Tribolium castaneum: one gene and its partner. The protein of the gene in region 1 interacts with the protein of each later gene in a pairwise test. Links are inferred from orthologs where the notes say so. Each region holds a gene or a part of one and is shown in the gene's direction. Other genes may lie near its edges.

Evidence for each region. The genes of interacting proteins can lie anywhere in the genome.
Region 2: the proteins of wal (region 1) and Etfb interact in a two-hybrid assay, tested with the Drosophila melanogaster proteins (2 studies listed by BioGRID). The link is inferred for Tribolium castaneum from reciprocal best matches to the Drosophila melanogaster genes wal and Etfb.

Annotation. Positions count from the first base shown.
Region 1 is NC_087403.1:1,723,510-1,729,126, reverse strand, and holds wal (electron transfer flavoprotein subunit alpha, mitochondrial), read left to right. Parts: upstream 1-2,572; 5' UTR 2,573-2,695; coding exon 2,696-2,731; intron 2,732-2,783; coding exon 2,784-3,201; intron 3,202-3,253; coding exon 3,254-3,621; intron 3,622-3,668; coding exon 3,669-3,848; 3' UTR 3,849-3,904; downstream 3,905-5,617. Other genes in the region: protein ABHD8, read right to left, coding at 4,784-4,897, 4,946-5,330.
Region 2 is NC_087396.1:10,352,172-10,355,674, reverse strand, and holds Etfb (electron transfer flavoprotein subunit beta), read left to right. Parts: upstream 1-1,416; 5' UTR 1,417-1,524; coding exon 1,525-1,575; intron 1,576-1,627; coding exon 1,628-2,026; intron 2,027-2,078; coding exon 2,079-2,390; 3' UTR 2,391-2,545; downstream 2,546-3,503. Other genes in the region: V-type proton ATPase subunit G, read left to right, coding at 624-705, 863-1,062, 1,165-1,254.

The DNA of each region.
Region 1 (5,617 bases):
ATTTCCTGTATTTAAAATGTGTCACTCAAAATATCACTTTTCAACACCGCATTTAAAGATTTTAATTGCAATTAAGTTTTATGAAATTATTGGTTTGTGAAATAAATAAATACGACACAGCAATAAAATACACCTACCTTCATATCGCTTCCACGTTGGCTACCGTTTGTAGCACTAAAAAAAATAATAATAAAAATGAAACCAAAAAAATGTTTATTTGCATTAAATTTTCAGCAGCCACTTTCATTCATTGAAATTAAAGACAAAATTACGTGGCAATAAATTATTTGAGTGTTTTATTTCATTTATAGTTACTGTATTTAAAATGTGTCACTCAAAATATCACTTTTCAACACCGCATTTAAAGATTTTAATTGCATTTAAGTTTTATGAAATTATTGGTTTGAGAAATAAATAAATACGACACAGCAATAAAATACACCTACCTTCATATCGCTTCCACGTTGGCTACCGTTTGTAGCATTAAAAAAAATAATAATAAAAATGAAACCAAAAAAATGTTTATTTGCATTAAATTTTGAGCAGCCACTTTCATTCATTGAAATTAAAGACAAAATTACGTGGCAATAAATTATTTGAGTGTTTTATTTTATTTATAATTTCTGTATCTAAAATGCGTCACTCAAAATGTCACTTTCAACACCGCATTTAAAGATTTTAATTGCAATTAAGTTTTATGAAATTATTGGTTTGAGAAATAAATAAATACGACACAGCAATAAAATACACCTACCTTCATATCGCTTCCACGTTGGCTACCGTTTGTAGCATTAAAAAAAATTAAAAACAACACCAATAAAAAATCTTTATTTGCATGAAAATTACAACAAGCGACATAATTTTACGGCTGTAAAAAACAGTCAACAATGTTATATTTAAGGATTGCTCTAATTGGTCAAATTAGTCAATAACTAATTTGTCCGGCAAGAACCACGTGGAGGTTTAGAGCATTCTTGCCAGGAAAAAAGGATATAAGGATGAGGTAAACAATGATTATTTCAAATGAAGGGAATAAAGGAATTATTGGTTTGTGAAATGAAAAAATAGTACACAAAAATCAAAGCTTTTTCACTTGGCGTTAAATAAATGCTCTTACCTTTTGTACTGCATCTGCTACCATTTGTAGCAAAACCTAAAAAATAAATTAAAAACACAACCAACAAAAAAATTAATTTGTAGGAAAGTTACAACAAGCGACTTTAATAAATATTATACAGAATAAAGGATACACAATACGGTATAATATATGGCACACAAGCTATTAAACCAACACATCACAAGATAAAACGCAAAAAAATGCACCTACCTTCATATGGCTTCTGCGTTGGCTACTGTTTGTAGCAAGACATTTAAAAAATTAAAACAACACCAATAAAAATCTTTATTTGCATGAAAGTTACAACAAGCAACGTTTGTCAATATTAAACAAAATAAAAAATACACAATACGTTTGAAATTATTGGTTTGTGAAATAAATAAATACGACACAGCAATAAAATACACCTACCTTCATATCGCTTCCACGTTGGCTACCGTTTGTAGCATTAAAAAAAATAATAATAAAAATGAAACCAAAAAAATGTTTATTTGCATTAAATTTTGAGCAAGCCACTTTCATTCATTGAAATTAAAGACAAAATTATTACGTGGCAATTAATTATTTGAGTGTTTTATTTTATTTATAGTTACTGTATTTAAAATGTGTCACTCAAAATATCACTTTTCAACACCGCATTTAAAGATTTTAATTGCATTTAAGTTTTATGAAATTATTGGTTTGTGAAATAAATAAATACGACACAGCAATAAAATACACCTACCTTCATATCGCTTCCACGTTGGCTACCGTTTGTAGCATTAAAAAAAATAATAATAAAAATGAAACCAAAAAAATGTTTATTTGCATTAAATTTTGAGCAAGCCACTTTCATTCATTGAAATTAAAGACAAAATTATTACGTGGCAATAAATTATTTGAGTGTTTGATAATAATTTTATTTACTGTATTTAAAATGTGTCACTCAAACGCGATCACTAGCCACCGAATTGAAAATTTAAACCGGAAAATTTAGATTTGCTTGAACACACGTCCGTTCGCGACAACGGCAAGTAACAAACTGAATAAATTGAACGAAACCGCACAATACACAATAATTTAAATAAACCGACTCACCTCGCTTCGCCTCGCCTCCCGCTCCCGCTCCCGATCTGACCCGCACCACTGCTCGCTGTCGACTGAACCGCCCTCGCCGCCTGCGCCGCACACCTAACCTCGGATGTGACGTCATCACACGTCTAAAACAAATCATAACCAGAAACACTCACTGTCCAAATCCGTCAAATTTAGAAACATTCATACACAGAATTATTCAAAATAGAACAGTATTGATCTAGAAAAATTAATTATGACAAATGTATTTGTCTATAAACGTCTAAAATTATAAAAGTTTCGCATGCAGTTAATGGAAAAATAAAAATGCATGTTTATATTTAAACAGAAACTGGCAATGTGAAATTTTAGTGCGAAAATTAGTGGTATCTAGCATTTGGTTAATTTAGTTTTGTTGAACTGGCAACACTACATCTGTCACTGTCAGGTGTACTTTGAACTCTATGTACTTTGATAAAATCATTAAATAATTAATAAAGTAGAAGAATTTGTAGACTTAGCAAAATGTTTTCGAATTGTTCGCGTCAGTTAACGTCCCAGGTATTTATATAATTGTGGTTATATAACATCTTGCTCACTGATCAGTTTTTAGTTTTCCAATCATTTGAAACGCCTGCAAAGTACCCTAATTATCGCCGAGCACGACAACAAGGGCCTTAACCCCATTACGCAAAATGCGTTGACTGCAGCTAAGAAAATCGGGGGCGAAATCTCCGTCCTTGTCGCCGGCACAAAATGCGGCCCTGCGGCGGAAGCCCTAGCAAAAGCAAACGGACTTTCGAAAATCCTCATCGCGGAGAGCGATGCCTTTAACGGCTTCACGGCCGAAAGCCTGACCCCTCTCATCATCTCAACGCAAAAACAGTTCAATTACACCCACATCATAGCCGGGGCTTCCGCCTTCGGAAAGGCCCTTTTGCCCCGGGTTGCTGCCAAGCTGGACGTCTCCCCCGTGTCTGACGTCATCGGGATCAAGTCCCCCGACACCTTCGTGCGGAGCATCTATGCAGGTAATAATAACAACCCCCAAAAAATTAAAATTGCTGAATGCCTCCTTCAAAGGCAACGCAATCCAGACTATGAAAGCCAACGACCCCATCAAAATAATAAGCGTCCGAGGGACCAGTTTCGAGGCCGATAAGCTGGAAGGGGGCTCGGCCAAGACCGAGACTGTGCCCACCGACGGCTGCGCCACCGACATGACTGTCTTCGTGGGGCAACAGTTGAGCAAGTCCGACCGGCCTGAGTTAACCAGTGCCAAGGTGGTGGTCAGTGGGGGCCGTGGGCTGAAATCGGGCGACAATTTCAAGCTTTTGTACGATCTTGCCGACAAGTTGAATGCCGCCGTGGGGGCTTCCAGGGCCGCTGTGGACGCAGGGTTCGTTCCGAACGATCTTCAAGTTGGACAGACTGGCAAAATCGTCGCACCGGTATGTTCGCCACGGGTTCAAAGGGCACGTAATTATTTTTTCTCTAGGATTTGTACATCGCTGTGGGCATTTCGGGGGCCATCCAGCACTTGGCTGGGATGAAGGACAGCAAAACTATCGTCGCAATCAACAAGGACCCGGAAGCTCCAATTTTCCAGGTCGCCGATTACGGATTGGTCGCTGATTTGTTCAAAGCCGTGCCAGAACTGACCAGCAAATTGTCTTAAAAACGTTTTGTAAAGATTATATTTTTGAAAATAAACTTGTTACTATAAAACACTGATTGGGGGTTTCAATTAAACGCATTTATTCGGTTGAAAAACTTTATTAAAGTGAGTAAAAAATAATACTTCGTTACGTTATCGGACGGATTAATACTTGCACTTCTTATATCACATAGTTAATTCAGGCTGAAGTTCGTCAAACAATAAAACCAGGGCCGGATCGAGGGTGAGGGGCCCACACAAAGGGCGCCAAATGTGTATTTACGATTTTTGTTAATAAATTTGGTTTTTTAACAGGAGTAATAATTATTCAACAAAGGTTACATAACACTAAACAGAAAAAGTGCTAACAGTTTTGTAAACCATTAAGGAAATAATGAATTGAAAATGATTAGCTGTTAAAAGTAAAAAAGAATTAAAAATGGTTAATTATGTTTTCTCTGAAATTTATCTACAACTTTAGAATTTTGATAAGGTGTAAAGCGGTAAAAAGACCGTTATAGGTAAGTAAATTTTAGTACAAGCTTTTTCAAACATTTCACAATTTACTTCCACTAAAACATTGCATAATAAATATTTTAGAATTATTTTACTAATAGCATCTACATGACAAAGAATATATTATCATCCGCAAGAATACAATTATTAATAATTTTTATTATTAAGGGCTAATTAACTAAATAGTACGGAGATTACGTGTGTATGCAAAATTTCAGCTCATTTGGATAACAGAAATTTCTCACATTTAACCCGAAAGATATAACACAGACAACAAAACAAGTTAAATAAAAATCGTAAAATTTTGTAATTGTAATAAAAATTTTAAATGTACTTTTCCGCCTCACTAAGACTTTCACCTACTGTAAAACAGGTGAAACTGTGTCTCGATCCGGCTCTGGTAAAAAGTATAAAAATAAATAAAAATAAATATCAGATAATTAGCTCCAGGTGTCAATAAAACACAAGATCATATGGCTGAGATGCTCCGGCGTTTCGATCATGGCCATATGCCCCGCATTTGGGATCAGTTCCAGAAAGGCCCTCGGTATGGTCTAAAACAGTCAACTATCGCAGTGCCCCCTCAAAACCACGAAACAAACCCTCTCCATCTCACATTGTTGTACAAGCGTAACGTTTTTATCCTGCAGCCCATGCACGAGTAACGTGGGCACAAGGATGCGCCTATGGAAGGCAGCGTCGCCCTCCGGCCAGTTTTGCCCCCTTGAGATGTATTCCAGGATTCGAGGAGGTATGGCCGACTCGCCCTCACAAACCTCGAAATGCTTTCCACGGGAAGAAAACAGGAAACTCCGTTTCAAGCCACAGAAAAGTAGCGGCTTGAATAGGGTGTGGATGCACCCAAATGGCGAAATTTCGCTGTTTTTGACCGGAGCTGCCAGAGGTGTAGGCCCGCCGCCACTGATTAAGATTAACTGCGAGATTTGGGGCGCCCTGTGGCGGTAGAGGGCTGTGACGATGCTACAACTGGAAAAAATTGCTCCCAGAATTTTGTAAATTCAACAACTTTTATAATATTTCATTGAGCAGTTTACAGTTAACTGTAATTGAAAAATTATAGTAATTGAGGAGTAATAATTGTAATCAATCATAATTGGTAAGATTATAACCGAATGAAAGAAAAAAATTAAAAACTTTATTAACAAAGCGTTTTTGTCATATACATCAATTTAAAATTGCGCTACTTTATGTTTTGATAGCGGGAAAACCGCCATTAAAAATTATGAAGCGTTTGTAAGTTATTTATTGCATTA
Region 2 (3,503 bases), on another chromosome or scaffold:
TTACTTGCCTAGTATGTTTTGTTTTTAATATTGGTGGCAAGTACTACATTTTGCGTACACGAAATTCCCTAATAAAAGCGCGAAATAGAAAAAATATCGTATAAACAACTTGTTCAAACAGTTTTTTTATTTCCTTACCTCGCCACTAGTATCAAAATTTCAAATTTACAAAAAAAATGTTTTCTGAAGTGATTCAGTCTATAATTTTTGTAAATTGTTAAAAACAGAATTGAAGTATCAAAGTGATAATAAAGTTTTAATTGCAAAGGCCATCAAAATTAAGATGATTGCTGTTCCAATTATTGTGGCTGACATCACTGGTACAAATGGCTTTTTCAGTGTGCACAATATTAATTAGGAGTAGAGGCGACAAAAGAGCCAATTTGTATTTCCTCTGTATCACAACAATAGATTTAATACCCACCTTACTGGTCACACTTGTAGTTGAAATTGATTGCCTTTCCTGTAGTGATAGTCGCTGCTTATGTAACGACGTACCGAAAATTCGGTATTTCTATTTTTAAATAATTTCTGTTGCCCCTCTACACACTTAAGCAATTTAATACAATTGAGGCATAATTTCATTAATACCACAACATCTAAGTGTCTTGCTCCATTTTGCAATGGCAAGTCAAACTCAAGGCATTCAGCAGTTGCTGACTGCTGAAAAAAGGGCAGCTGAAAAAGTCGCCGAAGCCAGGAAACGTAAGTATTTTATTTATAAAAGTTGCGGTTTATATTTAGAGCTACTCCGTGTTATTTCTGCAAGTTAATGCACATTTTGACACGTTAGTTTTATAAATATTTTGACAATTTACGCATCTCAGCAAGTCGTACATTATCCCAATTTTCCTATTATTAGGAAAAGCGCGCAGAATTAAGCAAGCGAGAGAGGAAGCCCAGGCGGAAATTGAAAATTACAGAAAAGAAAGAGAGAGGCAATTTAGGGAGTACGAGGCCAAACATTTGGGCTCGAAGGAGGACATCGCCGCCAGAATTGATAAAAACACCGAACAGATCATCATTGGGGTGGAAAATGACGTGAAAACCAACAAAGAAAAGGTAGCGCTTCTATTTTGGGAGTGTTTGTAAATTGCGTGATTTTATTTACGGCTGCGGCCACAGACTCGCGTTTTATTTCTAATTCAATTATTGTCTGTTTAGGTTTTGGCCGATTTGCTCTATTTGGTGCTGAATGTGCGGCCTGAGGTGCATCCCAACTACAAGATAATGAGAGTCTTCGGGAAAATCTAACTTGCAGCTTCTGACACAATTTTTCGGTACTGTTTAGCACAACTCTATCATTGTTACTCCAGCTTGTTTAATATAAATAACAGTTTCTTGTTTCTCATGATAATAAATTCATTGGTGTTGAGCGTCGTTTCTTTTGAATTCCCGCTCCTATTTGGACAGGGTCGCCAACTTCGTTATGAAACGTCAACTTTGATAGAAGTGTCAAAGTCCAATGGTCCAATTTTTGTAATACCTCCCAATTATTTAATTCCTTTACAACTTGTTGTAGCAATGGCTCGTGTGTTAGTTGGGGTTAAAAGAGTCATCGACTATGCCGTTAAGGTACGTTTTGACACCTTATTTTCGCTTTTTGTTCACTAGTGGAGATTTACAGATTCGGGTTAAGCCCGATAAAACCGGGGTTGTCACCGATGGGGTGAAACACTCGATGAACCCCTTCGACGAAATAGCCGTAGAGGAGGCCGTCCGTATGAAAGAAAAGAAACTAGCGTCTGAAATCATCGCAGTTTCTTGTGGTCCAACTCAGGCCCAAGACGTGATCAGAACGGCCCTTGCCATGGGTGTGGATAAGGGCATTCACGTCGAGGTCTCAGGGGCTGAATACGAAACCCTCCAACCGATCCACGTTTCAAAAATTTTGGCCAAACTGGCCGAGAAGGAAAAAGCCGACATGATCATAGTTGGCAAGCAGGCAATTGATGACGACTCGAATCAGACGGCTCAGATGACTGCCGCCGCCTTAGATTGGCCCCAAGCTACGTTTGCTTCAAAGGTACGTTTTCCGGTTGAGAAATGTATTTAAGTGTTACCAATAATTATTTTAGATAGAAAAGGGTGATAAGGAAATCACCGTGACCAGGGAGGTTGATGGGGGTTTGGAGACGATCAAGTGCAAGCTCCCGGCTTTGATAAGCGCCGACTTGCGTTTGAACGAGCCACGATATGCTACTCTGCCAAATATTATGAAAGCGAAGAAGAAGCCAATTACTAAAATGACTCCAAAGGATTTGGGGGTTGATGTGTCTCCTAGGATCACTGTGGTCAGTGTGGAAGATCCGCCAGTGCGTCAAGCCGGAGCTATTTTGCCCGATGTGGATGCACTTGTTGGAAAATTGAAAGAAGGAGGTCATATTTAAGTACAAAAGGGATGTTAGGTGCAACTGTAAATTTTTATAAAAACATATTTTACTAAGAAACAAGTCTTTCTTTATTGAGTCAGCTTACAGAGGACCAAATATTGGGTCACACGGTGTACCGTGTTGCCATCACAAAAAATAAATAATTCACTTGATTACATCTTTTGATTTCAATGTTTACAATTGGCCATATTAAAACCTTAAATCACTAAATTAAATTGTTTAATGACGTTATACAAGCTTAAGATATCTGCACCTTCTGGTGAACATGAAATTTTAAACCGTTTCTTTGTGGCACTGATGAATGCAATTACTGTTTTTTCGGTGGAAAACTAATGAAATGACGAGTCTCATAATATAATTGCACAAATTGAGATATTTTTTTATGGTATAACTCAAAATGTGCAATGTCAACCTCACGTCACATTTAAATTTCTCACACAGAAAACCCATTTCAGAATTCACCACCAAAGAGTGTGGGAGACGTAAAGCGGATTAGCTCCTAGAGTATTTTTTATTATAACAATGTAAATAATTATACAATTACAATAATTTTTCGGTTTGGTTTTGCAAAAATACGTTGTTAAAAGTTTGAGAAAAAGACGAAAATGATACCATTTTTGGCTTGTTTTCGACATTTTGTGAAATAGTTGCGTTTCTGTTTAAAAAATTAGCTAAAATGCTCAAAAAACGCAAAAATAATATTTAATTACAATTATAACTAATTATAATTTCGTAGCTTTCTGTTTAGGTTTGATATTCTGCATGAAAAGGTGCTGAAAGGTCTAAAAATTTAAGATTTTAGGGCTTATTTTTGAATAAAGAAGTCAAATCGACTGGAACATGTAATGTACCACTAAATTTGCATTAGTTTCTTGTTATTTTTATGAATTTAGGGAAGGATTTACAGATAAGGATAAGGACGTCGACAAGATAGCGAAACATCATAAAAAAGAAAAATATAGGGTGATTTTAAAGTACCGGACAATCTTTCGGGTGCTGATAAAGGACATCAAACTGAATTAAAAGTTCCTGTGACAAAAAATTGTTTGTGCCCTTTTTCACGAGATATAGTTCTTTACAGTTAAATTTTTACGTTTTTGGTGTTTCAGA